Xenopus tropicalis: one gene and its partners. The protein of the gene in region 5 interacts with the protein of the main gene of each other region in a biochemical or structural test. Links are inferred from orthologs where the notes say so. Each region holds a gene or a part of one and is shown on either strand. Other genes may lie near its edges.

Region 1 (4,190 bases), on a different chromosome or scaffold from region 5:
ATTATTTAGCGCTTTAACAATATTAATGCGTAACAAATATGTTTATATATTATATGATCCATGCCAGGTAACTGGCTAAATAGAATCATTGTAGCAAAATAAGATCTATTTCATTTCCCCTAGTTACACTGAACACAATTGACCAGGTATCCAGGCTGTGAGGCAACCAGAACCAAAAAGATGGGACAATACTGAAGCTGGTACTAAGGAACAGACAAAGCCAGATCCCAATGGTGTGGCAGAATCATAATGTAAAGCTGGAGCACAGGCCAGGAGAGACAGCAGTCAGGATAGTGAGTAACAGGCTAGAGGTCGATAACTAGAATCACAGATGGGAAAAGAGGTACTGGCACCTGGCAAGTATCTTTTGACCCTGACTGCTGACTCCCATACCACCCATTACAACAGTTTCCCTCTTTACTTGCTTATCCAGTGACTCCACATCCACTCCCTCACTCACCTGCTGGCAGTAGGAGTTAAAGGTACCAGTCAAATTTTTTTTCAAATTACGTCCCCCCTTAGTATTTCCCTACTCTGTGGGGCACATTTACTAATCCTCGAATCCGAATCCCGAATGAGAAAAAATCGGATTGGAAACAAAAATTTTGTGATTTTTTCGTCGCCGTTGCGATTGTTTCGTATTTTGCGTGACTTTTTTGTCGCCGTCGCGACTTTATCGTATTTCGCGCGACTTTTTCGTCGCCGCCACAATTTTTTCATATTTCACTATAGTAAATGGCGGAAAAACCAATCCGAATTTTTCACGACGGCGACGAAAAGGTCGCAGAAAATATACAATAAAGTCGTAACGGGGATGAAAAAGTCGCGCAAAATACAAAAACATTGCTACGGCGACGAAAAAAAATTGCAAAAATACAGATCATCATGAAAAAAACGCATTTGGAAGCTTTCGGACGTCCGTGGATTAGTAAATGTGCCCCTGTGTGTCTACCCTGCCTACCCTCATTTCCAGCCCTGCATAGAGTTCTCTATAAATATTATTTTTGCAGAATTATTAATTCATCAAAGCACAAATGTCACAAGGTTGTTCCTGCTTATTGACTGTGGTGCTTGTGCTCCCACTGTCACTTACTGTCACGTAAGTTGCAACAGTCATCATATCCCCTTACAATATTTACTTCAACATGGGAGAAGGGGGGCAGAACACATTTTGCAAGGCTTTTCAAAAAAAATCCTGGGAATTCTTGCACAAAGTGGGGAACATAAGGAGTTTTCTCTTTCAGTGGACAAGATACTGTAAGGAATCTATGGAGATTCTTTAAGCAAGAAACTTTCCATTATACATTTTCCATGATAACTGGCGGTGATTACACCAGGAATACTGGTTAGATATTACAGGCTTGACAAGGCATCCATGGAATTTTTTAACTTAGACTTCATCGCTATACGTCCGTTTATTCCATATACTTCAGCCTGCTCACTTTTGAATCATGTGATTAAACCTTTAAATATGCACCAGCCTGGTCTTTTCTTATAGCCTTATCTTGCTCCTAACCTTATTAATCCTACCACCCAAAACATTCTGACTGGTCTCGCTTCTCCTCTTCTTTATTTTCTTGTTTCAATTCAATTTAGTACTTTGTTTCTAGACAGAAAGCATCAACTGGGAGAGAGGTTTAGAGTTCTCTGCTGTGTACAAAAAATAAATAAGCAGCAAACAAAATACTACATAGGATTGGAGACACCGTGCAGAAAAGAAAGTAGAATATATACTATATTATGTGACATTAAACAACTACAGTGAATAAATAATAACATGACAATAATGACATGAAACAATGTATACTCCTGGCCAATCAACACTAAAATTAGAAATGACATTTTTAACATCTGAACATATTGAAATCTCAGTGAACTTGATCTTCTGCTATTTAAAACCTATCTCTGGGTATACTGCTAGTTATATTTTGAAGTTTATAGTGAGATATTTTGGCTGCTCTATTTTCCTGTGACATCAGAACATCATTAAAGAACATATGGCTGCATTACATATCACAGCAACACATTTAGATTGTAAGCCCTATGGGACAGGGACCTCTATCCTCTTGTATCTTTGATTCTTAACTTATTGCAACTGTACCTTGTATTTATTGTTATACTTTGTGCTAATCTATTCAACTGTACAGTGCTGTGTACATAAATAGCACTTTATAAATAAAGATATACATACATACATATATACAGTACAACACTAAAGTATCTGTTGTAGATAACAGACCAACCTGCATTCATAGATCCTGCATCAGCTAATATGTAGTTCATGGTTTACCTATTACAGATAGAAGCCAGCGGTCATACAGAATCACTTACTTCCTGGGTGCATATCCCACATCAGCTACCCAATGTAAAATGCCTTAGTATTGTCTTCTTACGTGGTTAAAAAGTCTTCACTTCCTTCATATTTTAGCATAATTGTCCGTGCTGCTAAAGGTTATACACTGTACACTGTTTCATTAAAGAAATTTGGTAGATTCTAATGCATAATTTAAACAAGCTTTCTAAAAGTAGGTAAAGGTAATTCAAATCTAAAATAGCAATTTTGCTTAGCAGTATGGTTAAACACAGATGACTAAACTTTTGATTTTCCTTCAAAAAGAAGTACCTTGCTGAATAACCACTGATGTTTTTGGGCAGTTGTCTCTTAGGGCCACCAGCATTGCATGCTTTCTGTATATTCCATTAAGGAACATGTTGATGAACAGCAATCCTTCTGACATCCTTTAAAACATGAATGTTCATGTTATTCCTCTATATGGATTTGGTTTGAATCTTGGATCCTAGATATTAAAACATGGAAAACAAAGAGTGAAAAATAAAGAAATAACATTTTTATAAAGAACTTATTGCTGCTAACACTGTGTTGAACTTGGGTGAAGGCTAACAAAAGACAAGGCTAGTGTTTAACGAAATACTCTTTTCAAAATGCATCAGTTAATAGAGTTTTTCCAGCAGAGCAAGCATCAGTTAAATACATGCATTTTCTATATAAATGGTTTGGGTTTTTTTTCTGTATAAAGCAGCAATCTACATGTACATATTGGTTGCTGCCACTTTGCATTGTAATTTGGCAAAATTGGAAAACTGGGCAGCAAAATGGAACATGAGGTTCAATGCTGAAAAGTGCAAAGTTATGTACTTTGGTTGAAATAATATAAATTGAGTCAAAAAGGGCATTGACTCAAGGGATGAAAACATAATTTTGCCTCTTTATAGGTCCCTGGTAAGGCCTCACCTTGAGTATGCAGTGCAGTTTTGGGCTCCAGTCCTTAAGAAGGATATTAATGAGCTGGAGAGAGTGCAGAGACGTGCAACTAAACTGGTTAAGGGGATGGAAGATTTAAACTATGAGGTTAGACTGTCACGGTTGGGGTTGTTTTCTCTGGATAAAAAGGCACTTGCGAGGGGACATGATTTACTCTGTACAAGTACAGGGATTATAGACAGTTAGGAAAAGTTTTTTTTTCCCATAAAAAGGATCATTGCAGCAGAGACCACTAGTGATGAGCGAAATAATTTGCCAGGCATGGATCTGTGGTGAATTTCCTTGTTTCGATTTTGGTGAATTATTTTGTGAAATGGGTGGCAAAAATGTTGCCCGTGTCAAAAAATTGTTGCCTGTGTCAAAAAATATAATTTTCCAGTGAAGCAAAACAGGACAGATTCGCTCATCACTAGAGGCCACCCCTTTAGATTAGAGGAATAGAACTTTCATTTGAAAGGTAACCACCACGGTGAGGTCAGTGAGGTTGTGGAATGCCCTTCCTAGTGATGTTGTGATGGCAGATTCTGTTAATGCCTTTTAGAGGGGCCTGGATGAGTTCTTAAACAAGCATAATATCCAAGGCTATTGTGATACTAATATCTACAGTTAGTATTAATGTTGGTATATATAGGTTATGCTTGTGAGTGTATAGATAGGTCAGAATGGGTCTATGTGTGTGTGCTGGGGTTCACTTGGAAGAAATCTTTTTCTGTAGATTCTGCATTTTAAGTGTAAAATTTGAATATATGCCTTTAAATTTTATTTATATAAAACAGAATCCCATGGACACTTTGTTGCAGGTAAAAACCACCAGTTCTATAAAGTAGAAAGTAATATGAAATATACAGTATGCATCAACAGCGTATCATTTTACTACTTCAATGCAAAGAAAAAATTGTTCACACAA
Region 2 (3,500 bases), on a different chromosome or scaffold from region 5:
AATGGAGGTACGGGGCAGCTGGTTCATTTTTAAAACTGCACAGTAAAGTCAGCATAATTAAGTGTAGCTTAAGTGGAACGAGAATAACATTTTTAGGATTGTTTTTCTCGCTCGATATCTCCTATATTTGTGCTAATCTCATACTGAGGAATTTAGAAAAAGAAAATAAACTGAGAACTTATTTCTTAAAAAAGACTAGTTATCGGAGCACTCTAATGAGTTTAGATATATCAGTGCAGAAACATTGCTTTCTATAAAAATCTATCATTTTAAAATTCTTTAGTCTACCCTTTCTATGCTTGATATGTTAGACATGATGTATATCCGATTACAGAGTATTCCACACATAAGAATTTAGCTCCTTAGCTATTAGGAAAAGCACAAATCGCGTTGCGGTATCAAGATAGGAATCTACAGCAAACCGCTGTTTTCTAAAATTCTTTTGATGTGGAATTCTTTGAAGAATAGACATTTTTGTAAAAAATAAGCAAACGAGTAAACAATGTCATTTTACTGGGTGCCAGGTATTTCTGAAGACACAGCAGTCGTGTACGGCAAAATGCATGCTGTTCTCTTTTCATGGTTTCTGCTTTATATTAAATAAGCATCATGTACCCCTCTCTACTGCAGACTGTCACACTGCAATATTATTATCTATGGATGGACAACTCTCTTTAGAAAAAAAAAAAAAACGAAGCCAGAGAACAGGCACTGCTATTCTTGTAGCATCTGATCTGGTCCCAAGTTTGTAGGTTCTTACAACAGGAAGCCACTATATTTCACACCTAATCAGAAAACTGGCTGTCACATTTCTGATTAGATTTGCATATTTCATTTGTTTTATCACTGCACTCTTCAATGCATAAATAGACTCTGAGAAAGTTCCAAAAATATATTTCACTATTTCACACATCAGTTTCCAGAATTTTTAAATTCACACAGTTATACTTAATGGTCTCGTTGCCATTCCCTGTCCCCTCACTAGCCTTGTCTTTTATACAGAGAGACTCTTTGAGCCCTTCCTCCATTTCTAAGTATTCAGACTTGTCCTGTAGAGAGGAAGAAGTGGAGCTCCTCAACTTTTTCAGCAGGTTGGTGGGTAAGTATGGGCAACTGGAGCTGCTTTGTGTCAACTGTGTTTGTTCTTCATTGTCAGTTTCCCTGTGGTAGAAATAGTTAAAGTTTGAAACTATCACTGGCACTGGTAGTGCAATAGTCAATACCCCTGCTATGGCACACAGGGAGCCTACTATCTTACCCCCCACAGTAATGGGTTTCATATCCCCATAACCCACTGTGGTCATTGTAACAACAGCCCACCAGAAGGCATCAGGGATACTGTGAAAGTGGGTTGTGGGTTCATCGGCCTCTGCAAAGTAAACAGCACTTGAGAACAGAATGACCCCAATGAAAAGAAAGAAGATGAGTAATCCCAGTTCCCTCATGCTGGCTCTCAAGGTGTGACCAAGTATCTGCAGCCCCTTGGAATGCCTGGACAGTTTGAAGATGCGGAAGACCCTAACCAGGCGAATGATCCTCAGAATGGCAAAGGACATGGCCTGTTGTTGCTGCCCAGTCCCCTGGGGAAGTTGTTGCCCTGTGCCTAGAGCAAGGTGCTGCTGTTGAGGGGGATGCTGCTGCCCAAGCTCGGTACCCAGGGTGATAAAGTAAGGCAGAATGGACACAATGTCTATTATGTTCATTATGTCTTTAAAAAATCCAGGCTTGCTTGGGCAGGCAAAAAGGCGCACAGCAAACTCGAAGGAGAACCAGACTATGCACACAGTCTCCACTATAAAAAATGGGTCATTAAACGCAGTGTGGTCTGTCAATAAAAAAGTTGCATTGTATGCCCCGCCCTCTCCATCCTCCCCTGTACCATCATCCCCCATCCCCAGCGGAGACAGCAAACTATCCTTATCGTCCCTGAACTCGGGTAACGTCTCCAAACAAAAGATAACAATGGAGATAAGAATGACCAGCACGGAAACGATGGCGATGCCCCGGGCTGGACCCGAGCTCTCCGGGTACTCAAACAGCAGCCACACTTGTTTCTTGAACTCATTTTCCGGCAGCTGCTTTTCTTCCTCTTTAACGAAACCTTCATCCTCGCGGTATTTTAGCAACGCCTCCTCGCCCAATTCGTAAAACTTGACCTCCTCTGAAAAGATGTCGAAGGGCACGTTGACCGGCCGCTTCAGCCGTCCCCCGGATTGGTAGTAGTACAGGATGGCGTCGAAACTGGGACGGTTTCGGTCGAAAAAGTACTCGTTCCTCAGCGGGTCGAAGTAGCGCATCCTTTTCTCCGGGTCGCCGAGCAGCGTCTCGGGGAACTGGGTCAAAGTTTTTAACTGGGTCTCGAAGCGCAGCCCGGACACATTGATCACCACCCTCTCGCAGCACTCAAACTCACTGTACACAGGGTGATAGCCATCCTCCTTGGGGCTTCTCCTCCTGTGCAGGCTGCCAGCCTCATCCTCATCATCCTCACATAAGTAAAACTTTTGGTCCTCCTCCTCTGACACCTCTTCTTTGAGCATCATCTCCTCAGAGCCACATGGCCCCAGCTCCGAGGGGAAGGTGCCTTCCTCTTCTCCTCCTGCTCTTCCTCCTCCAGCGCCTCCGCTGCATTCGCTGTGCCGGCTCCTCCACCTGTTGCAGCCGCTTAGTGGCCAGTACCTCCGCCTGGCACTTCTCTTTCTCTGCGCTGACTTCTCCTCCTGCTGCTCTTGGCTCTGGGGTGCGCGCCGCGCGTTCCCGCCAGCCCCGCTGTTCCCCTGAGTGGCGGGGGCGCGCCCAGCCCCTTGACAAGCGCCGCCCCCTGAGTTCCCTCCTTCTCCAGCTGCGGCGGCGGCGGCTGCGGCTCGGGAGTGCGCCAGGCGTTCCCGTTCGCGGGCCCGCGCTTGGGCATAGCCGTAAGGCAAGTGGCTGCTACAGCCGGAGCTATCCGCACTCACCATGGCAACCTCCATCTCTGCTGTTGCTGCTCACGGCTTACTGTGCGGCGGGGAGACTGCTGAGTGCTCTGTACCACCCTGCCATGGTGGCTCCCCCAAGGCAATAAACTTATTCAAAATAAATTCAGTGATTTTTAGTTCATTATTACTCATGCAAGGTCATAAAAAAATAAGAATGCAAACACCCTCATGGTCTCAGGGGTAATTCCCCCCCCCTCTGCGAGTAAGGAGTCAGCGCAGGGAGCTCTGTGCGGGCGGAACCAACTGGCCAGAGAAGGGGGGTGCGGGCAGAGAGTAAATGTGCCAGTTTGTAGGGGGGGCCGCTGCCCATAAACCATAGAAATAAAGGTTAAAAATGTGTGGTTGAGCTGCTTTAAAGCAATATTGTGCTGTAGGAAATAGGAGCCAGTGAGTAGATAGGCAGGTTATGTCAGAGTTCAGCCAGATAGCTCTCCAGGTAATTGTTCTAGAAGCAACAACAAGTTTGCAGGGGGGGTTGCTGCCCAAAAACCATAGAAATAAAGGTTAAAAATATGTGTTTGA
Region 3 (4,137 bases), on a different chromosome or scaffold from region 5:
TAACTGTAGATATTAGTATCACAATAGCCTTGGATATTCTGCTTGTTCAAAAACTCATCCAGGCACCTCTTAAAGGCATTAACAGAGTCTGCCATTACCACATCACTAGGAAGGGCATTCCACAGCCTCACTGCCCTCAACGTGAAAAACCACCTACGCTGCTTCAAATGGAAGCTCCATTCCTCTAATCTAAAGGGGTGACCTCTGGTGCGTTGATTGTTTTTATGGGAAAAAAGAACATCCCCCAACTGCCTATAATCCCCTCTAATTTTGATTATTATATGATTTGAGGAGGGTATACGGCAGGGGGTCTGTTAGCCTTGCTGAAAAACACCCAAACTTGGTTAGCCATTTCCCAATAAGTGCAGCCTGTTTAACTAGGTACAGGATCCAGTCAACAAAATCTGTGGAAATAACCTAAAAATAAAAATCCTTTAAAGACATTACACATTAAAAGATACAGTTTAATAGGGGCAATGTCTGCCAGTTATTTTGAAGTAATAATGTCTCACAGACTGATCTATGCAGACCTTGAGCAGGCTAGAGTGGGTCATAAAAATCACTTGGAGACAGTGGGCCTCCAGTTGGTCTGTCCAGAGCTAGAAAATATGCATAGATATTTAGTAATAAGCCACTTGAAAGTGCCGTGTAATAAATAGCCATCATCCATTGCTGCTTTTTCCTTTACACTCTAGCTCTGCCAGAAGTTTCCCATTGACCTAAATGGGAAATTCCATAAAAATAATGGTGGTGTTAATTATGAACAGGCAGTGTAAAATAAAATTAAAGCCTTTATAAATGTGTCAGTTATTTTACACTGCTTTTTAAAGTGTTTTCAGAAGTAAATAAACAGTCCCTTTGTGTTGCTTTTTTATAGAATGCTAAATATGGTTCTAGCTGCCCAATTCTGTCAGCCAGGGGACATTTGAATGTTACCTGGACCTGACCCTGCTCGGTTGCAACAACAGTTTGGCTTGTTCTAAATATGTGAAATAATTAATTCTGTAAAAGCAGAAAATCAGTTTTTCAACAGACTTAAGCAAAGGGAAATTGTGAACAATACAGTACCTTATCCTTGGTAGCATTGCGGTGGCTGTAAAATGTTACAACTCTCTACATCTGCAGTAAGGGCATTAGTAACTGAACAAAGAGAACTACATTTTAGCTTTAAATTAATGTTTATGTACTAAATTATAAAGATAAAATACCCAGGGAACATACTATTTATTGCTAATCCCCACGGTTTTATAGACAATTACTCATTTCAAACATTTGATTAAACTACAAAATGCTCTATGATGATACTCTCACATAATTCAGTGCGACAGGGCTTAGATTGTAAATGGTATAGAGGCATATTTCATCTGCACCATTTTACAGTACTAAACCCGCATAAAACATGTAAAGTTTGTGGATATTTACCTTAGTGATATAGGAATCATGCAGGAATCATATAAACAAGGTAATATGCCTAGAATTCTCTATGCAGCAAGGAAATGTTATATAGCAAAAATGGAACACAAAGCTATGCCAAGTGCAACACAATACAACCATCTGGTGGCTCATAACCCTTTGGTAGTTGGTCAAGGGGTAGTGAGGTGAACATTTAAGACATGACAGACATGCAAATAAAACCCCAGAATTGTAAAAGGGATGTCTTTACCTGCATGTTCACTGCACAAATGTCACATGGGTGCCATAATCATGGGGTATAGCTATGGGTCTATACACACGGGGGTTTGTACCAGAGCCAGCAGCATTATTGAAATCATGTCTGAAAAGACAGAAAAACAGGGAACAATTTCCCTATGGAGCAATCTACACTGCCACTAGACAATTAGTGCCAAAAAATATAATTTACTTGTACTGAAATGCTCTATAGAAATGTGACCTATTTTTTAGCAATGCTGTGCATGTATAGAATACCCAGCTTGTACACAAGCTATTTTTGAGCTTGGCAATTTGTGTTTGTTCTTGTGTTTGTTCCATTTGCCAATAGAGACATAATACAGCATTTTAGGTCCAGCAAGCATTTTTGCAAGCTGAAGGCAATATAGCTGGCAGGTATAGAAACTTATGTAGAGTACTATGGCAATATCATTTGTTTGTGCCAGTTGAAATCGAATACACTGCATTATACAAAACCCTAACTCACAGTACTACAATGATATAGGACTCCAATGCAGTCTGCAGGGGCTGGCACACATATGGCTCCGCTCCTGTGATTCCTGGCACAGATTACACAAACCCACAGGTGTTGGTCCAATGAATGATAACTTTCATGAATATTTGGAGCATTGCAACTTACCAAACAGTGCCATAGGCTCCTGATCCCACAGCCACCAGGTCTCTGTACCTCTCCTTCACCTCCCAGACGGTCTTATTGACGTCCTGCCTATAGTATCCCTTCTTGGGCAACGGGGAGGTGGACATGGCTACTAGTTGCCAGCAGGCTCCTGTTGCACTAGTACTATGTGAATGTGGGTCCCAGGCAGAGTCACCTGACTGCTGATACTGGGCGGCTCTCCTGAGAGGTACAGTAATGTCACGGTGAGCAGTACTGACTTGTCCTGCTCTTATTCACCATGAGGGACCGGCTGCCTTCTTTACGTAGAACAGTCTCTTCCGACCAGCCCCTCTTTCTGCGTCTTCGCTCTTCGGTCAGCTCTCGCCTTCCACTTTCGTTTTCCTTTTGTCCACTGTGCGTATTTCCCGCACCCTCAGCCTGCACAGTAGCTGCCCAGTGACGGGAAGTATTTCCCATATAGAGCCCGGAGCTTTGTGCCGTCACGTGACCCGGCCAGTCCTTCTCCCCTCCCTTCTCCAGTGCGCAGATTAGTACTTAACCCACTCACTGCTCTAGTCCGACACAGTCCTAAAGTGATTTGGGAAGTTATGTGGCCGGGAATTCGCTCACACGTTCATACGTGTTATGACCCTTCGCTACAAGAAGACGATCTTTGCATTATTTTTCAATGTGAAGCTTTATGACCTCTCTTGGCATGAAGTGCCATTATTCAATTATTATTCAATAACCCACTGCTACTACTAGGCAGTTCAACCTAACAAATTCATTCTTCCCCAATGGGTTTTTATCAGACTCGGTTTACATTATTACTAATGCTTATTTGTAATTATTATTTGTTCGTCTGTGAAATTAGATTACACAGTTGTAATATCTCAATGTGGCTGTAGTCCCAGTGTACCAAATCTAGAACAGGCTTTTGTACCTGTAAATTTAAATTGCCATTATTAAAGGCCCCTGCTGAGCTCCAAATAATCTTGGGGCAAAAGAGCCAACTCAGCCTATTGTTATGCTCCTATAAATGCAACAGACTCTTTTGACACAATTACAAGCTATAAAAGGTCCCATTGTAATATTAAGTAAGGGTGTAGCTTAGTAGCTAAAAGGGTTGTGACCATAATGCTGGCAGCAGGGGCCTAAGGGGACACAAATAATATATTTTCCCATAGAATAACCAAAAATGCAGATTAAATGAGATATTTAGTAACGCCACATGCAAGGGTCAAGGAATATTGGTGAAGGGGTTGGATTAATACTTCCTGGTCAGCAGGGTAATTAAACCATAGCAACCAAATAACAGTCAAAACTCTAAGCCTGACAGCTGCAGAAGAAACTATAGGTTTTAATGACCTATCATTTCCCATTAGGGACCAGGCCCAGCCCCAAGGGAGCATGATATTCTTGGATGCTGTAGTGTAGTTTATACATTATATTCATGTGCAGCACCCTGAACAGACAGGTCCTGCATGCAACTTACACTATTTATATAGTGTTTGAGATGCAAGATTAAGCACGCCTAAACTCATGTGCGATTTGATTCAGCTTTATTTTGCCTGATTGTACCCGCCTGCATCAGGATCTGCATTTTAGCACAGCTGCGTTACAATGTATTTCCTTAAACACAACATGCTGCATTTTTATGCCTTTAACATGCCTTATAATTCAATCAAACAGTTGTCAAAAAATATGTTTTTATTTATTCAAGAAGTTGTGTGTTTATCAAGCTGGGTTCAAATGTGTTCTGTAAAGTTTAGAACTGACAACTCCTATGAATGAATAAGAATCTTCCTATATACTGTTCTTCTTCAGTGACTGCTATGAGATGGAGCATC
Region 4 (4,204 bases), on a different chromosome or scaffold from region 5:
AGAAAAAAGTGTGGTAATAAAAATATATAACAGGATAGATTTTCATAAACAGCGAATATAAAGAATATAAAAATGAATAATTAGGGTGATTATAATGCTGCTAAGGGTAAAGATTGTGGTGTATAGGAAAAACAAAAGAGGAATGCCATTTTGTTATTTAGAACAGAGAAAATATTTACATTTATACTGATTAGAGTGCTGTTATGTTGAGTGAAATATTCTGTTAAGTAAAGAAAATAGGATACTTTTATGTAAGCTTATTTTGTAAGCAAACGAGTTGTTACATGGGTAAATAATAAGAAAGGGATATGGTGCCATAATGTAGGCTTAATACAATGTTTGCTGTTTATGGTATTGTACTGATATTTAACCTGAATTTTTATGGCGCTGGTATTGAAAATGAGCATACTTTATAATGCTTTTTTTATAGTGATTGCTGCATTTAAGGGAATTTAGTGCTGTTAATTAGGAAGATTGTGTTATTATTTAGGCTAAATATGGTGCTGGTGAAAAGGTTGCTGTTATGTAGAGTAAACATTAATTGAGTTGATAATATATATATAGGACCAATGGGACCTTTTGTTTGGTTTTGTTGTTTTTTTTGAAAGAAAATACATTAAATAAAAACTATAACTTAACATTTTCAGAAAAATGAAAGAAAAAGTAAGCTCTCCAATACACATTAAAATGTTCAGTGGTTTTAAAGTTATTTTTCAATGTAATTGTTATTCAAAGCAATGTTCATTTGCACTGCTAGTTCTAAGTTCATCAGCAGAAGCTAGCTCTCCTCCAGACAAGACTTCAATTCCCACCATGCTTTTTCACAGGTCTGTTAATCAGCTGGCTTCTGCTGCACAATAAAGAGTCTAAACCACCAGTAAAATACATTTTTAAAAAACGTTTTAAATATTTAACTAATGTATACTTTACCATAAATTGGGTGCTGTAAGGGGTTAATATGAGGATATGGTGTTGGCATTTAAGGTAAATTGGGTGCTGCTTTCAGTGTAAATAATTAGGGGGTGTTGTGATAGTATGTAGGGTTAATATGTGTTGTTAAATATAAGAATGTTGTGATGTATTTAGGGTAGTCCTATGTGGTACTGCTCCATTATTCTAAAGCCCAAACAGGAATTTTAAATACTGTTCAGAAAATCACAGTCACCCTTAAATGTCTGAACTGTACTTGGTTTATTTAAATAGGTATATAATCCTAGTAAAAGGGTGGGGTGTAAAGTAAATTATGTTTTACAATTTTATGGGAACTGGAAATTTGCTGGTGTTAACACTGTTCCTTGATTCTACAAATTGTTTCCCTGAATAATAATATATAATAAATAATAATCTTAAAAGCTCAGAATCGATTATCCATCTCTTGACCACAAATGGAAAATACATGTTTTGATGTTACACAAGTGAAAAGAATAAGTAAATTGCCAGCTTGACATTTTATAAATCAATGAAAAAGTGAAGGGCTGCCATTAGCGTCTCTGGGTTGTGTGAATGTACAGCAGGGTGCGGTGCAGAGAGGATTACAGCTTTGGGTTTGTATGTGCAATTCAGTAAAACATGATTCCCAAAATAAAAAAAAACCAGATTGTATGATGTACCCCATGCTATCTTAATACACAAACTTCTGTTACAAGTACATCTATCTATCTATCTATCTATCTATCTATCTGTCTCTCTGTATGTCTTTTCATCTTTTTATCATTTATTGTATTTATCACTTAAAGTGCTTTATTTTGCTACAGTTCTTCTACAATCTCTAGATAAGTACAGTATTACCTATCCTGCTATTTTTTACACTGTTGCCACCATTTCTGGAAATAAATACATGCCTTTAATTATCTCTAATAACTTTTACAAGGTCCCTGTATGGTTTGCATCTGATATACAAGCAGGTTAAAAATGCTGAAGAAAAAAAAAGATGCTTAGTTATTGTCAGTGGTGGAAAAAACATACAAAACCTACTGATAAATCCTAAAACAAAATGATAGTTTTTCCTTAGCAATGGATTTGCTTATAAGGTAATTATACACAGTCTGGCGCAATATAACAAAGTTATATTCCTGGCCAATACATTTCTGCAGGTTTCTACAGAGGCGCAAGATAACACAGGTTTTTTTTTACCAGAATTATTATTTCATCCTGTGAGATGTTCCATTTAGCAAAGTGTCCCGAAAAGGCAATTATACTTAACTCACAGATCTTTGTGGAAAGGAATTATTTAATATGTATATATTCAGCACCTTTAGCTAGATGGCATGTGCAATAATGTGTACGTGCAATAATTTAAGAAAGTCGGGTCACTTTATGTTTAAACTACTGTAGTGTCTGCTAGCTAAGTAATATCATTTTACATATTTCATTGTAAAAATATGTTAGATTAATTATTTAAATATAATGCCATAAAGTCAAAATGAAAAGAGACAGTCCCTGTGGAATATTTGTTTTGAAAATGAATATTTTACACATTGCAGGGAAATGAAATAAAAATAGCGACAAGAGAACTATAGTATCTGCTAGGGAAATAGGACTTACCTGGATTCAGAGAATGCCCATGAAGAGTGCTTTTGGTTAGATAAAGCTGCAGTGGCAGTGATTTCAGTCGGGGAAGCTGCAGACACTAGCCATGCATGCCTGGCACCGCTAGGGCTGGCCTTGCAACAGAAGGTGAATGTGGGAATATTAAAGGTTTGAATCTCTCAGAGATCTTCCTTTCTGTCTCTCTGCTCAGGGAGAGGCACAGTCATCTGTTCAGAGTGAGGATCCTTCAGCTGCTGAGGCAGAACTTGTAGCAGGGGCAGGTACAGCTTCAGGGTGTCATGATCCCTCCCTTCTCCTTTCCAAAACCCCCCTGCTCCTCTAGATATTAACTAGCCATTTCACACTTTAGATGCAGAATCTTTTGCCCACCCCCCCAACAAGACTTAGGATCACAATTTTCAGCAAAAAATAATTAAAAAGGGTTTTTTTATTGGTAAATAGTAAACATGTAGTGGTGTCTCAATTAAGGGTAAAAGATGTAATATGTCAGAGGATGTACAGTCTTTAGCAATATACATTTGTAAAGTAAGCTAGCAGTTAAAGGTATGCATTTAGGGCATGTATCCATGGGTCCTTTTTTATTCACTGGACTGCAGCTAAATTACCAGTGCCCATTACTGGGGTATGACCAGTGTTTAAAATTACCCAGATAAGTGACAATATACAGTATAATATCCTGAATATTCTATCCATATAAAGAGTAATGTCATCAGTTATAATTTGTTCTTAGTGATTTAATTTCTGTCACCTGAAATTTGTGTATTATATAAAATGTTATATCCCCTGTTCTAAAATAAGAAGTTATAAGTCACTTTGAGGTTTTGTGACCCGTATATGCACTTGGCTTTCAGTGTGATGCATTTATATGGTCATGGAACGTCTTGGTGACTTATAATATCCAACTGTTGCAGAGTTGCAATAACTTTTTATCAGCATACACTGGTGTGGAGCCAGAGCAGCCGAGCACCTGATAATGTGAGAGATCTTTTGGTGCATACCTTCTGTTGAATGCTCACCATTCTGCAGAACTTCTTATATTTTTTTTCTTTTTGGTTTTATTTTCCCTCTTCACAATCAAGTGAGAGAGACTGTGCATATCTATATATATATATATATATACATTCCAATTGACAATGCGCACTCCTCATCCTTTATAATTCATAAAGTACGAGTTCAAGTGCATTTTTTTTGTGCGGTACTCTCTCTCTCTCTCTCTCTCGCTCTATATATATATATATATATATATATATATATATATATATATATATATATAGTATCACTAGGTCCGCACACTCCCATTACTCACTTTACTCCATATCCAATTCAAGGGTGCTGCACATGGTTGTAGCTCATATTCATTCCAACTGACAATGCGCACTCCTCATCCTTTATAATTCATTTATTGTTGCATTAAAAACATCAACGTTTCGGTCCAGGTCTAGGACCTTTATCAAGATGTTAAACAGCACTCCTAGGATTCAAAGAATTATGAACAAAATGCAAAATTACTTGAGTAATAACCTTTCTATTTTTGCATTTACATTTTGTTCACAATTCTGTAGGTCCTAGGAGTGCTGTACGAGTTTGAGTGCATTTTTTTTGGTACTAGCACCCAGGTTTTGTTGTTGTTAATGTTGTGCACCCATATATATAA
Region 5 (3,500 bases):
GTTAGATTTTTGCCCAAGTGAGCAGCCATTAATGCTGAGCAGGTTTGGTCATTTCTTTCTGCATTTCAGGTCTATAACATTAAAGTAGGATTGAGCAGGTATTCATAAAATGTTTAAACTCTAAAGCAATAATGTTTTATTATTGTACTAGATACATAAAAGGGGGTTTAGCTTGTAGCCCTACACCTGTTGTCTAGCCTGTGACCACCCAGCTGTTATTTTCCAACAGGTACAGGACCCTCCAACACCCCTGATTTATTATTTCCTCTCTAGATGTGGCTTAACCTTCAACCAAAACTCATAATGGGTTTACATCGGTTATTAGTAAATGGATCCCACAGTGTCAGATTGGAAATTGGCCGGTGTAAGTACAAAATAAGCACTTTCACTCCGTGTCTCTGCTCCCCTTGCAGTGATGCCTCCCACGTTCCCCTCCCAGATTCCCTGGAATGTGCACAGTCCCCTCAACAGCTGTGCGGGAACCATGAAAAGCAGGAAAAAATTCTTGTTCAACAGAAGAAATGGGGAAGAGTTAAACTGAAGCAGTATGTTTATCTATACACTGGCACCCAATAACTAGTAACTAACCCAAATGTTATTCTGTAACTGGCACAGCCGTTCTTATAACTCTGTCTCACAGTGCTAATTATACCCACTTCATATAGATTCGACTGGAAGCCCAGTCTGTACCTATAACTCCTCCTATTACTCCATATACCCCTCCCTATAACTCCTCCTATTGCTCCATATACCCCTCCCTATAACTCCTCCTATTGCTCCATATACCCCTCCCTATAACTCCTCCTATTGCTCAATATACCCCTCCCTATAACTCCTCCTATTGCTCCATATACCCCTCCCTATAATTCCTTCTACTGCTCCATATACCCCTCCCTATAACTCCTCCTATTGCTCCATATACCCCTCCCTATAACTCCTCTTATTGCTCCATATACCCCTCCCTATAACTCCTCCTATTGCTCCATATACCCCTCCCTATACCTCCTCATATTGCTCTATATAACCCTCCCTATAACTCCTCCTATTGCTCCATATACCCCTCCCTATAACTCCTCCTATTGCTCCATATACCCCTCCCTATAACTCCTCCTATTGCTCCATATACCCCTCCCTATACCTCCTCATATTGCTCCATATAAACCTCCCTATAACTCCTCCTATTGCTCCATATACCCCTCCCTATAACTCCTCCTATTGCTCCATATACCCCTCCCTATAACTCCTCATATTGCTCCATATAAACCTCCCTTTATTACTCACCTTCCAGCACCACCTCCTTTCCAGTCTTCTTCAGAGCCTGCACAGCATCATCATGAGTAGCCTCTGACAGGTCTACCCCATTAACAGACAGGATTGCATCCCCCACATATAATGACCCTGTCAAGTCAGCAGCCAGGCCTTTGAAAATCTTGGAGATGAGGATGGGCATCTTGTTCTCCCGGCCACCTTGTAAACAAAAAGATGTCGATTAATCTATTGGTATGGAACTGTTCCTTCAATACATAACTTAAACTAGAGGAAAAAAATCATCCAATCCTAGATAAATGGTATGGCAGTGACACGTTGCACCCCAATACACGTAAGGCGTGTATACAGGCAATGGCTACTCCTTGGGCCATACTCTATGGAGAGTGCAATGCAATGGGGCACAAAGCAGCCTGTACTTTATGCCAGTTGCATGTTGGCTAATGTTACATACTGAAGTTCTGATTGAGTTTTCATTTACATGTATAGAAGCATCTGCAAAAAATAATATTCCTTTTCCAGTCACACTTTCATCTGTTTCTAATTCTGCATTTCTAAAATGTAAGAAACAGACATTTTCAGATGACTCCACAAACTCCAGGGAAATAGCAGCCCAGTTCAACCTTTGCCAAAGAATTTATTTTCTCTGTAATACTCTAGCCTAAAGCGTAAATGGTCTTAAAGGGCTACTGTACCCTTATTTGTTTTAATGCTGAATTGTGCTTAGTACAGGGGAATATCTATACAGGAACTGAGCCCATAAACATGGCACTGCCATTAGTACACTTTGGGCCTAGGGGGGACTGAGCCCATAAACATGGCACTGCCATTAGTACACTTTGGGCCTAGGGGGGACTGAGCCCATAAACATGGCACTGCCATTAGTACACTTTGGGCCTAGGGGGGACTGAGCCCATAAACATGGCACTGCCATTAGTACACTTTGGGCCTAGGGGGGACTGAGCCCATAAACATGGCACTGCCATTAGTACACTTTGGGCCTAGGGGGGACCGAGCCCATAAACATGGCACTGCCATTAGTACACTTTGGGCCTAGGGGGGACTGAGCCCATAAACATGTCACTGCCATTAGTACACTTTGGGCCTAGGGGGGACTGAGCCCATAAACATGGCACTGCCATTAGTACACTTTGGGCCTAGGGGGGACTGAGCCCATAAACATGGCACTGCCATTAGTACACTTTGGGCCTAGGGGGGACTGAGCCCATAAACATGGCACTGCCATTAGTACACTTTGGGCCTAGGGGGGACTGAGCCCATAAACATGGCACTGCCATTAGTACACTTTGGGCCTAGGGGGGACTGAGCCCATAAACATGACACTGCAATTAGTACACTTTGGGCCTAGGGGGGACTGAGCCCATAAACATGGCACTGCCATTAGTACACTTTGGGCCTAGGGGGGGCTGAGCCCATAAACATGGCACTGCTATTAGTACACTTTGGGCCTAGGGGGGACTGAGCCCATAAACATGTCACTGCCGTTAGAAAAGTTTGGACCTAAAGCTTGCTATGCAAACCAGTAGATCTGTGCCTGATTTGGCCACCATCCCAACAATGTGACCCTAAATAGCGCCTCAGGGGACCTGCTGGGAGAGAACGGTATCAATATGCCAATGCAGTCATCACCTGATTTTTTAACCAGCTGATCTGCAGGCAGATATTGGTTGGGCAGGTTTTCATTCACCATTCACAGGCCAATACATTTTTCCTGCAACTCTCTGCCCCAGGATACTGTGAGTCCTTGATCATTTCCTACAAGCGGCTGACCCTTTAGAAAGACAGCAACAGGCTTCAGCTAAATCTGACATGCAAGCCGCTGCTATTTTAGGATTAGCAGTTATGTGACAGAGTAAGGCTGAGTGAGCAGCCCGCCACAAACGGAGTCCGGACCCTCCATTTTTCCAACAAAAACATTCAGCGTTCAGACTTTGCCTATAATGCCAATGCAATAAAACCAGAACAAAATTAATTTCAAGCTTAACTTCCCCTTTAAAAGTCTTAAGAAGTTCCAAAATGCAAGATTCCTATAATATTCTGGTACATGAATATACACTATATCATGTCCCTTAAATTTCCCACGCTCCTTTGTGCTGCAGGGAGAGTAGGTGTTGGGGGGCAGGGAGGAAAGGCAGTCCCGGCAGTGTCCCCCCTCCCAAACAAACCAATATAACAGCATGGGACATTCCTCAGCCAATAAGAGAGAGGGAGAT
Region 6 (4,212 bases), on a different chromosome or scaffold from region 5:
CTTGGGTCTGAAGATGGGACCCCTCCCAGCATCTACTCCAGTGGGTGTTTTTGCTCAAGCAAACCATATGGATTTTACATGCAGGTAAGAAACCTGGTGTACCACAGACATACTGCTAATTACTGACATAGATGAACTGTCATTCTCCCCATAATTAGCTATAAAATATTTATTTTTTGTACATTCTATTTATTCATCAATAATATGGGAAGAAAGTATGATTATACCTTTTTCTAGTGTCAGGCAAAGAGAAAATTATTTTTAAAGAAACAATTACGTTGGCCTGAGACTTTGGATGGTCAATTACTTCCTGCCTCTTATGCACAGGATGATGGGAGATGTGGTTTAACAGCAAATAAATAGCTTCATGTTTGTTACAATTATTTTTTCTTCAGGTTGCTGTTTCTTCAGATGTTTTTGTAAAGGCAGAACAATGTGAGTTTTGTCTGCTAAGCTAAGCACAGAATTATGTTTAGTAAGAAACTGAATGGTATAAAATGTGGAATTTGGAAGAGCACATAGTCAAGATTTATTTATAGTTCATACTTGTACAAAATATTTCAATACAATGTTTAACAGCCCGCAGGTCCTCAATATGTGACCTTTCTCACGTTGTCTTACTATTTGACCACCAGGAACATTATTGTCTCGGCTTTTGCAAACAGCACATTTACCTTCTGTTTGTAAAGACCGAACAAACTTTGTGGAATATGTTCAGAACAGACATTTGTAGGGCTTCATAGGGTTGTAGTCTGCAGACAGACAAATTTATTAAAACACTCTGCATGGCATAGACATAAGAAAGCCATGCCAACACTGGTAAGGAAGCTTTCATAAATGATCTCTGGCATCATATGGCTGACTCCCTCCTATAGGAAATATTATCTAATGCCATTGATGCTTGGAGACGGTCTAGCTCCATGTGACTTCCCATGACATGTAAAACTCCTTCATCTGGCATGCCACCAGCTGCTTCCTCATCTTCATCTTCTTCTTGGCTCAAAAGTGCTAGTTCATTCTCATAGCAGAAGGCGCTCGGAGAGGGTAATACAGTAATGCGACTTTCATGTAGTTCACGGGCACTGCAAACAGGAGTACCTGGAACTTGGTATGTCTTATGGAAATGGGAATAATCCACTTTGTAGTGATTTTTCTCCTCAAATACTACAGGCTCAAATCGATGTCCCCAGCGTATCTCACTAGCTAGATAGGAGCTGCGGGCTTGAGTGGTCATAGCTGTGGCTTCCACCATACCTTCCAAAATGACAACAATCTCAAAGTCTTCTCCCTCTAGCTGCTCTTTACCCATTGTATAGAGTGGGCTTTCCTCATCAATCTCATGAACAATAATAATAGGAGAGACTAAAAAGATGCGGTCTAAGCCACTGTCATATCCTACATTTAGGTCTCGTTGATCCACGGGAAGATATTCACCTTCTTGGGTAACATAGGGTCGAATCAGTTGTGCCCGCACATGAGCTTCCACAATGTGGCTTTTACGAAGGTTACCTACCCTCCACATTAAGCACAGCTTACCGTCTCTTAGTGCAATGACAGCATGGTGACTGAATAGCAATGTTTGTGCCCTTTTTTTGGGTCGAGCCATTTTAGCCATAATTGTTCCAATCATGAAAGAGTCAATCAGGCAGCCAAGTATTGACTGAGCCACCACAGCAAGAATGGCTAATGGGCATTCATCTGTTACACAGCGAAATCCATAGCCTATAGTAGTCTGTGTTTCTACAGAAAAGAGAAATGCCTCCACAAAACTGTTGACATGCATCAGACATGGTTTTGGTGGTCCTTGCCTACCCCCGGCTATCACTCCACTGCTAGTGCCCAGATCCCCATGCAGAAAAGCAATGCACCAGAAAAGAAAGGCAAAAAATAGCCAGGAGGCCAAGAAGGTGGCAGAAAAGATGAGCAGCATGTAACGCCAACGGGTATCTACACATGTGGTGAAGATATCTGCCATGTAACGCTGGGACTTGTTGCTAAGGTTAGCAAAGTAGACATTACACTGACCATTCTTTTTTACAAATCGGTTGCGCCGTTTTCGCCGTGAATGGGGATGGTGGAGAGAAGAGGTCCAGTTACCATTGGCCCCCAAAGATGGCATGCGAAGGCCTTCTTCATCAGTGGACACAATGCTGTACCTACTTCAAGAGAGAAAGAAAAGTAATTAGATAGTTGCAAACCTTTGGCTTGGCACATATGATTTATCATATCACAATTTGATCCTAAATACCAGTAAGACATGCTATAAATAGTAAAACACTGTTGGGTTTCACACCTTGGCACACTTACTAAAACAGTAAATCTAATATGTATACTGTGGCATCCTCCACTATAAAGCATCTTCTGTTTTAAAACTGCATCCTTCTATGTATAAAAGGAAGAAGAGCTACACAGCCAATACCAAAGGGTAAGGAAAGATGGGAGGAAAAAAAATAAACCTAAAAGTGGAGGTTGGTTCCTCAAATCTCTCTGAACTAATAGACGTTTGAGACATGATGTTTATGAGCTCTAAAACAGTCACCTAATTGAAAACCCATTTACCTTATTCAGAAAGGTACTTGTTTTTAAACATGTTCATTTGCAATTTAAACTCCTTCAGTCTGCACTGATGAATTACATGCAAGTGCCTTCATTGACACATGGGAAACCTAGAATTACTGTCATCCTGGACTCGCTAGTAACTACAGAGTTCCCTTATTGGGTTGCATCAATAGTAGGGTTGTATTTCTATATATGTCTAGAGATCTAAATATATAGACAGCTATATATAAATATAAGTACAATGCATACATGTATAATATAAATTATATATATATATATATATATATATATATGAACTACACTTTAAAAAAAAACATTCTACACACACAGCCTGCTGCAGCTAAAAACGGCTGCATGATCTGTCCTGTGCATGCACCAGTCAGTGAGGGGGGGGAGATAGTGCCTAGGGAAACACCTAAATACCGCCGTGGTCAACAGTTGCAATCGATTTGCTCCAAGTGAATTAGATGCTAATGCTGTTATTTATGCCATATACCAGAAGTGGAACCATTTGAACACAAATGCAGGAAAAATGATCTGCTGCATAACACCAGTTTACCAAAACAGATGATAATATACATACATATTGGTGGAAAAGTTGCAGTGGGCACAATTTAGTATATTCTCACAATTAAGGTGGAGATACAATCCACATACAATCTGCATTTTCAAAGTACCTGCCATGTTTTTCTTCCAGATCTGTATTTTACATTGCCTTGTCTATCCATAATCTTATTCTGGCTGCGTAAACATAGATGCCACCATACAAGCAGGACCAAACAAAGTGCAGGAGGATTTTCTTCTGAGATTGGGTTGACGTGCAACTGGTGAGTGCAGTGGGACAGATATACTATACGCCATACTCTGGGTTATGAATGAGTTCTGCCTGCAGTGTTTATGTCAGTTTCTAATTATAATGCAATACAGTATACTTCATGCTCTATAAGGAGTACTTTTTATAATATATGTATATATCTACATGTGAGTCTATTGCATGTAGGCTGCTTTGCAGGTAGCTGGGAACACTAGGGGGCTAATTTAGCAAAAAAAAAGTTTGGTTTTTTTTCGATTCAAGAAAAACACAGAGAAGAAAAGCTGACATTTCATTTTCTGAAACCTCCAATGATCGGGATTTATTAAAGAAGTAACTGCAAAAAGTTGCCAGAAGAGAACTCGGCAAATAAAACTGACAAGCTTGTATAGAAGTCAATGGGGATATTCTCTAACATTTTTTATTCATTTATTTATTTTTCCAGCTTATTGAAAATGAATGGAACAATGAGATTCTGACTTGTGTGCGCCAGATAATATTCTGTCACGTTTTGTTTTCCAATAAGGTAGTTTCATAGCAGGAATGTTACAGTTTATGTAGCCCTATTTATAGTAAAAGTGGCTCCCCGCAAGACTGTTTTGCTATCAGTTCTTTCCATAATCACCCTGGAACCCTATAAATTCCATAGCATTTTCTCTAAAATGTCCCCTTTTTGAGATGTTATTAACACTCTTATCATATTTCACCTAACATCTGGGTGGAGTGGGGTATTCAGAACATGCAAAGAAATCAGTGCTGGGGGACCCTAACAGCTTCTCTACACTTCTCTCATCTTATGTAACACAGCATCCTATTTTCGCTCTCTGAGGTTTCATACCAAG
Region 7 (4,181 bases), on a different chromosome or scaffold from region 5:
AAGTACAATGCTACGCTATATACCAGATAAATCCCATGGAACAAGGGCATGACACATTTGGGTATTTCCTTTTCATGACCTTTTTACAATGCTGGACCTTTTCCTGCCAACAAATGCACCATAAGGATTTCAACTTTCTTTTTTAAGGTTAATATTACAATTACTGTCCTGGTCATATCCCAAATCCTGCCCAGGTGGGAGTCCAGATTGCTAACCCATCCGAGCAATGGTCTATAAGGTGAAATTACATTTCCATTTTAAATGTACATTTTAAAATTTACATTTAAATGCTAATATATCTAAAAATTTTAGCCACCTGAGATCTGGTAGGTTTCAGGATGCAAATAATTTTAAAATGAAATATTCCCTAGTTCACCTTCTAAAGTTACCCACTGGAAATGAGATGAGAAATGTGCTTCTTAGGCCACAAAGCTATGTTCAGACACTTCATTTTCTAATTGAATGTCACATGTTTTAGGGGTGCAGGTAACTTAGGTAGTCCTGCCAAAAAATCAAAAACAATCCATGTGTGGATTTACAAAAATCCAGTACTTGCACAGTGTTACATAGCCACACTGTATTTATAGTATGAAAGGATGCATAAATGACAGAAGTAAAACTTTTGACTGAAAATAAAAGATATTAAACCTACATAATGCAAACTACAATTCTAAAGTTAAATTGCAGTTTTGGCTTTTTAATAGTACATAACATAGTAACTGTGCAAGCTAGAAATGTGCAACGTATCACCATAAATCAAAATGTAAAACATTGCTTATATATTTCCTTCCATGAATGCCTACATTAGATCCTGAACTGGGCTGGGTGTGGTGAAGTCCTTCAAAAGCCTGGGTTACTAATGTAAACAGTACTCCACTCCAGCCTACTGAAGGATTTTGATTACCCAGGCACATCATGTACAGTAAGTGACTGACTCTCAATGCTTATGTTGGGCATCAGGGCTAGTTCCTACAATGCTTTGTGAATCTCTATCTTTGTGGGTCCGTTAATCACAGAGTGTGCAAGACATTGTAGGAATTGGTTTCACAGATGAAGGTGCTGACTACTGTAACATTGTTTCAATGATACATGTAGCAAGAATCGGACATGCAGAGAATAGCAAAAAAACAGCAAAATACAGCATTGAATAGTAAATATGCTTGACATAATTAAAAATGTGTCAGGATTGTGGAAAGTTTCTTAAAATTCAATTTGATTTAATTTGTGCAAAAAGTTATAGTTGCATTTACAACCCCTTTAAGTTTACTAGAACAGAAATCTAAGGCCAAATGTTTGCTATGTGCTATAGTTCAATCATGCACACGTAGCTGCATACTTTTCCTATTCCTCAGTTCCACTGCTAACATTAACCTTGTAGGTTTCCCTGTTCAAGATCTGATAAACAGGGTGTGGCTATGAAAGGCTGAATGCTGGCCAATATGTTTGCATTCCCCCAATTAATTGTCAGTACATCCTGTGTCTAAGCCAATTTTTGTTGTTGTTCATTCTGGATACAGTTTTCAATCTGAAATAGTTTTTATTTGAATTATATTTTTATACTCCTCCATATATATGTACAGCCTTTCAGTGAACATGTGCACTTTCCACCTATAAATCTCTGTTTTAAAATACCTCACACTCCCTGGGATTTATGTCAACTAAGTGTGAAAGCCACTGTTGAATAAACATCTGAACACATGTGAGTGTCAAATAGGCTGGTGAAGCGTGCTTATAATGTATTTAGTATATCTGTACCGTATATGTGATCCTACGAGATTTGGGACGTATTTCTAGCACTTACCATGCTATGCATTGCATGAACTTTATTCAAGTCACAAGTTCACAAGAGTAAAATGAGAGCGGTGTACTTGTAAGAGATTTACTCTTCCCCACAGCTGTTAATTTTTCTCCCCCTATTACAGTTCATCTGAATGCATTCACTATGTATGAGCAGTAAATTTAAGATAGCCATGAAAGTGCTATAGTACATTTTTCAGCCTTATATAGCATGCTTAGTGAACTTGTAAATAAACTAAACATTGAATGGTTTATAAATTACTATGCTGATCTACTTCCATAATGAAGCTGAGTGAGGCATGGCAGCTGAAACAGTATCTTATGGGAAAGCAATGCAGTCGCTTCCATTTACAGCTGTAATGACCTGCCCCATTACACAAATGGCATAAAGAGCTGTCAGAAAATTGGATACTACACAAAGGCATGGGAAGTCCCTTTTATAGTTATATATACAGCCAGCGTGTATTTTTTCTGCCGATAAAACACATTTTTTTATCAGCAGTTTATTTTTCTTATTATTACTTTTATTGTAAATATTTTTCAATCACAAATACTGTGATTTCTGGGCTGCACATAAAACCCAAAAGGCTTTAAAAGATCTTTAAATGATTACTGCAAATGTTGCTGCATTAGTAAGCGAAATGTCAGAATGACTTAAGTAGTATTGCACTACAGCAGACACTTGTAACTGGAAGCTTTGCTGCTAAATATCTTACACAGTTCATATCACAATAAAGCCAGATTTATTATTTTTAAGTTCCCACACTGAAGTAAAGAAACTAATATTGACATTACCGGATCTGTTCTTGATCATATCAGTGAACTCATCCGCAGCAGAATCTCCTCTGGGCTCCTCTTGATATCCACTTTCAGCCATAATGTACAGAAGCTCTCACTGACGGGCCTCAAAGCTGCAGAATAAACACCCAAAGTTTTTGGTAGTCTTACTTCTCTCTCAGCAAAGCAAGTTACTCTAGAGAGTTAGGTAACGTGTTATTCCCACTAAAGCAGACAGCCTTTTAAAACTGCAAATAGTGTCTGCATTGGAACAGGAGAATAAACTGTCAACCCCACAGATCAGAGAAAACAGGTGCTGATCTCTGTTCTTCCTTAAAATAGAACTAGCCCCGTATAAACTACAAGAACATGAATGTGGAGTAGTGAATATTAAACCTGACACACTATAAATCAGCATCAACTTGTTGATTCTTGAAACTGTTTCCGTAGCTTTGCACAATCAATACAAAGACCCATAAAATACCAAATTACCAAACTATACTCAGAGGGAAAACATAATTTAGTTATATCTCACTTAGTTGCTTGCAGCTGAAATATCATGAGTCTGTGTTCAATATATACTGTATTCCACAAGGGTGGAAAGGATGCCAAAAATGTCAATCTCTTTAGCCAATGCAGTTTGTTTTGCAGTTATGTCTAATAATGTGCAATCATTTTCTAGATGCAGAAAAGAAAAACAAAAAAACAGATCAAGTGCTGCTCAGTAATTAGTAAGGGTTGTTCCTTGCTTACATAAGTAGGGGCAGACCGTCACCTTCAAATGTTCAGTTGGAAACTTTTTTAAAGATCAAAAAGCTTAGATGTGTGTGCTGTTTTATTTTTAGCAGCCCATTGTACTGGAGACAGAAGAAAGGTTCAGTAGGGAAATTGCCTTCATTAATTGTATTGATGAAAAAAGTCCAAATACAGCGCAGCACTGGTCACTAGCAATAAGCAATTTTTTGCAGACGAATTTCCTCATTTTGCCTTTAGATAATACTTTGCAAAAGTACCGCAAATATTTGCAGCAAACATTTTTTTGCTGTGAAAAAGTCACCTTTTCTACACAGAAAAGTCACTGCGGAAAAACGCCACTAGACTCCAATGTTTTCTGCATGGAAAAAATAGCTGTGAAAAAGGTTGCAGCAAGAAATCCGTTTCATGAATTTTCTCATTAGTAGTGGTCTAGTTTTTTTTTTTAACTTGGTTTAGTCATAATTGAATATACTGTATCTGACAGACAATAGTCTCCCATGACACCCATTTTAGTGGCAGACAGCACCGTGGGTACAGTATGTTAAAGCTCTAGGCTTTTGCTAGATATGGTGAATATATACAAGGATAACAATGCAGAGTAACTCCTTTTTTCCAGCTTGTATAACTACTATTTACCTCTCCTTCTTCTCCTAAATATGCAGGAGATATAACATAATGCAGCACTCTGCAGAAGTTGTCATGTTCCAGAGACTGACGAAAAGGAATGAAAAGAATGAAAAAGAATTCACAGGAAGCTGATGTCATTATAAATCTAAAGGACTCAATGGAAAGCATTCTAGGCCTGATGCCATTTGATCCTGTGGAATGATACTATATAACCTTTGTAATTA

What was found.
Region 1: the proteins of snta1 (region 5) and htr2c interact in a test that uses a peptide from one of them, tested with the Homo sapiens proteins (2 studies listed by BioGRID and IntAct). The link is inferred for Xenopus tropicalis from reciprocal best matches to the Homo sapiens genes SNTA1 and HTR2C.
Region 2: the proteins of snta1 (region 5) and kcna4 interact in a test that uses a peptide from one of them, tested with the Homo sapiens proteins (2 studies listed by BioGRID and IntAct). The link is inferred for Xenopus tropicalis from reciprocal best matches to the Homo sapiens genes SNTA1 and KCNA4.
Region 3: of the proteins of snta1 (region 5) and mapk12, one has a biochemical effect on the other in vitro, tested with the Homo sapiens proteins (2 studies listed by BioGRID and IntAct, with this or other methods). The link is inferred for Xenopus tropicalis from reciprocal best matches to the Homo sapiens genes SNTA1 and MAPK12.
Region 4: the proteins of snta1 (region 5) and slc6a3 interact in a test that uses a peptide from one of them, tested with the Homo sapiens proteins (2 studies listed by BioGRID and IntAct). The link is inferred for Xenopus tropicalis from reciprocal best matches to the Homo sapiens genes SNTA1 and SLC6A3.
Region 6: the proteins of snta1 (region 5) and kcnj4 interact in a test that uses a peptide from one of them, tested with the Homo sapiens proteins (2 studies listed by BioGRID and IntAct). The link is inferred for Xenopus tropicalis from reciprocal best matches to the Homo sapiens genes SNTA1 and KCNJ4.
Region 7: the proteins of snta1 (region 5) and dmd.3 form a complex in vitro, tested with the Homo sapiens proteins (2 studies listed by BioGRID, with this or other methods). The link is inferred for Xenopus tropicalis from reciprocal best matches to the Homo sapiens genes SNTA1 and DMD.

The regions. Positions count from the first base shown.
Region 1 is NC_030684.2:66,128,631-66,132,820, reverse strand, and holds the start of htr2c (5-hydroxytryptamine receptor 2A), read right to left. Parts: upstream 2,801-4,190; 5' UTR 2,624-2,800; intron 1-2,623. UniProt on the Homo sapiens protein: G-protein coupled receptor for 5-hydroxytryptamine (serotonin).
Region 2 is NC_030680.2:19,914,104-19,917,603, reverse strand, and holds part of kcna4 (potassium voltage-gated channel subfamily A member 4), read right to left. Parts: 5' UTR 2,973-3,500; coding exon 906-2,972; 3' UTR 1-905. UniProt on the Homo sapiens protein: Voltage-gated potassium channel that mediates transmembrane potassium transport in excitable membranes. Forms tetrameric potassium-selective channels through which potassium ions pass in accordance with their electrochemical gradient.
Region 3 is NC_030679.2:71,612,563-71,616,699, reverse strand, and holds the start of mapk12 (mitogen-activated protein kinase 12), read right to left. Parts: upstream 2,801-4,137; 5' UTR 2,434-2,800; coding exon 2,309-2,433; intron 1,775-2,308; exon of another isoform or gene 1,664-1,774; intron 1-1,663. UniProt on the Homo sapiens protein: Serine/threonine kinase which acts as an essential component of the MAP kinase signal transduction pathway.
Region 4 is NC_030682.2:78,452,512-78,456,715, reverse strand, and holds the start of slc6a3 (sodium-dependent dopamine transporter), read right to left. Parts: upstream 2,801-4,204; 5' UTR 2,545-2,800; intron 1-2,544. UniProt on the Homo sapiens protein: Mediates sodium- and chloride-dependent transport of dopamine. Also mediates sodium- and chloride-dependent transport of norepinephrine (also known as noradrenaline). Regulator of light-dependent retinal hyaloid vessel regression, downstream of OPN5 signaling.
Region 5 is NC_030686.2:41,872,652-41,876,151, reverse strand, and holds part of snta1 (alpha-1-syntrophin), read right to left. Parts: intron 1,468-3,500; coding exon 1,282-1,467; intron 1-1,281. UniProt on the Homo sapiens protein: Adapter protein that binds to and probably organizes the subcellular localization of a variety of membrane proteins. May link various receptors to the actin cytoskeleton and the extracellular matrix via the dystrophin glycoprotein complex.
Region 6 is NC_030680.2:122,426,484-122,430,695, forward strand, and holds the end of kcnj4 (inward rectifier potassium channel 4), read right to left. Parts: intron 3,387-4,212; exon of another isoform or gene 3,257-3,386; intron 2,160-3,256; coding exon 851-2,159; 3' UTR 501-850; downstream 1-500. UniProt on the Homo sapiens protein: Inward rectifier potassium channels are characterized by a greater tendency to allow potassium to flow into the cell rather than out of it.
Region 7 is NC_030678.2:107,315,154-107,319,334, reverse strand, and holds the start of dmd.3 (dystrophin), read right to left. Parts: upstream 2,801-4,181; 5' UTR 2,675-2,800; coding exon 2,593-2,674; intron 1-2,592. UniProt on the Homo sapiens protein: Anchors the extracellular matrix to the cytoskeleton via F-actin. Ligand for dystroglycan.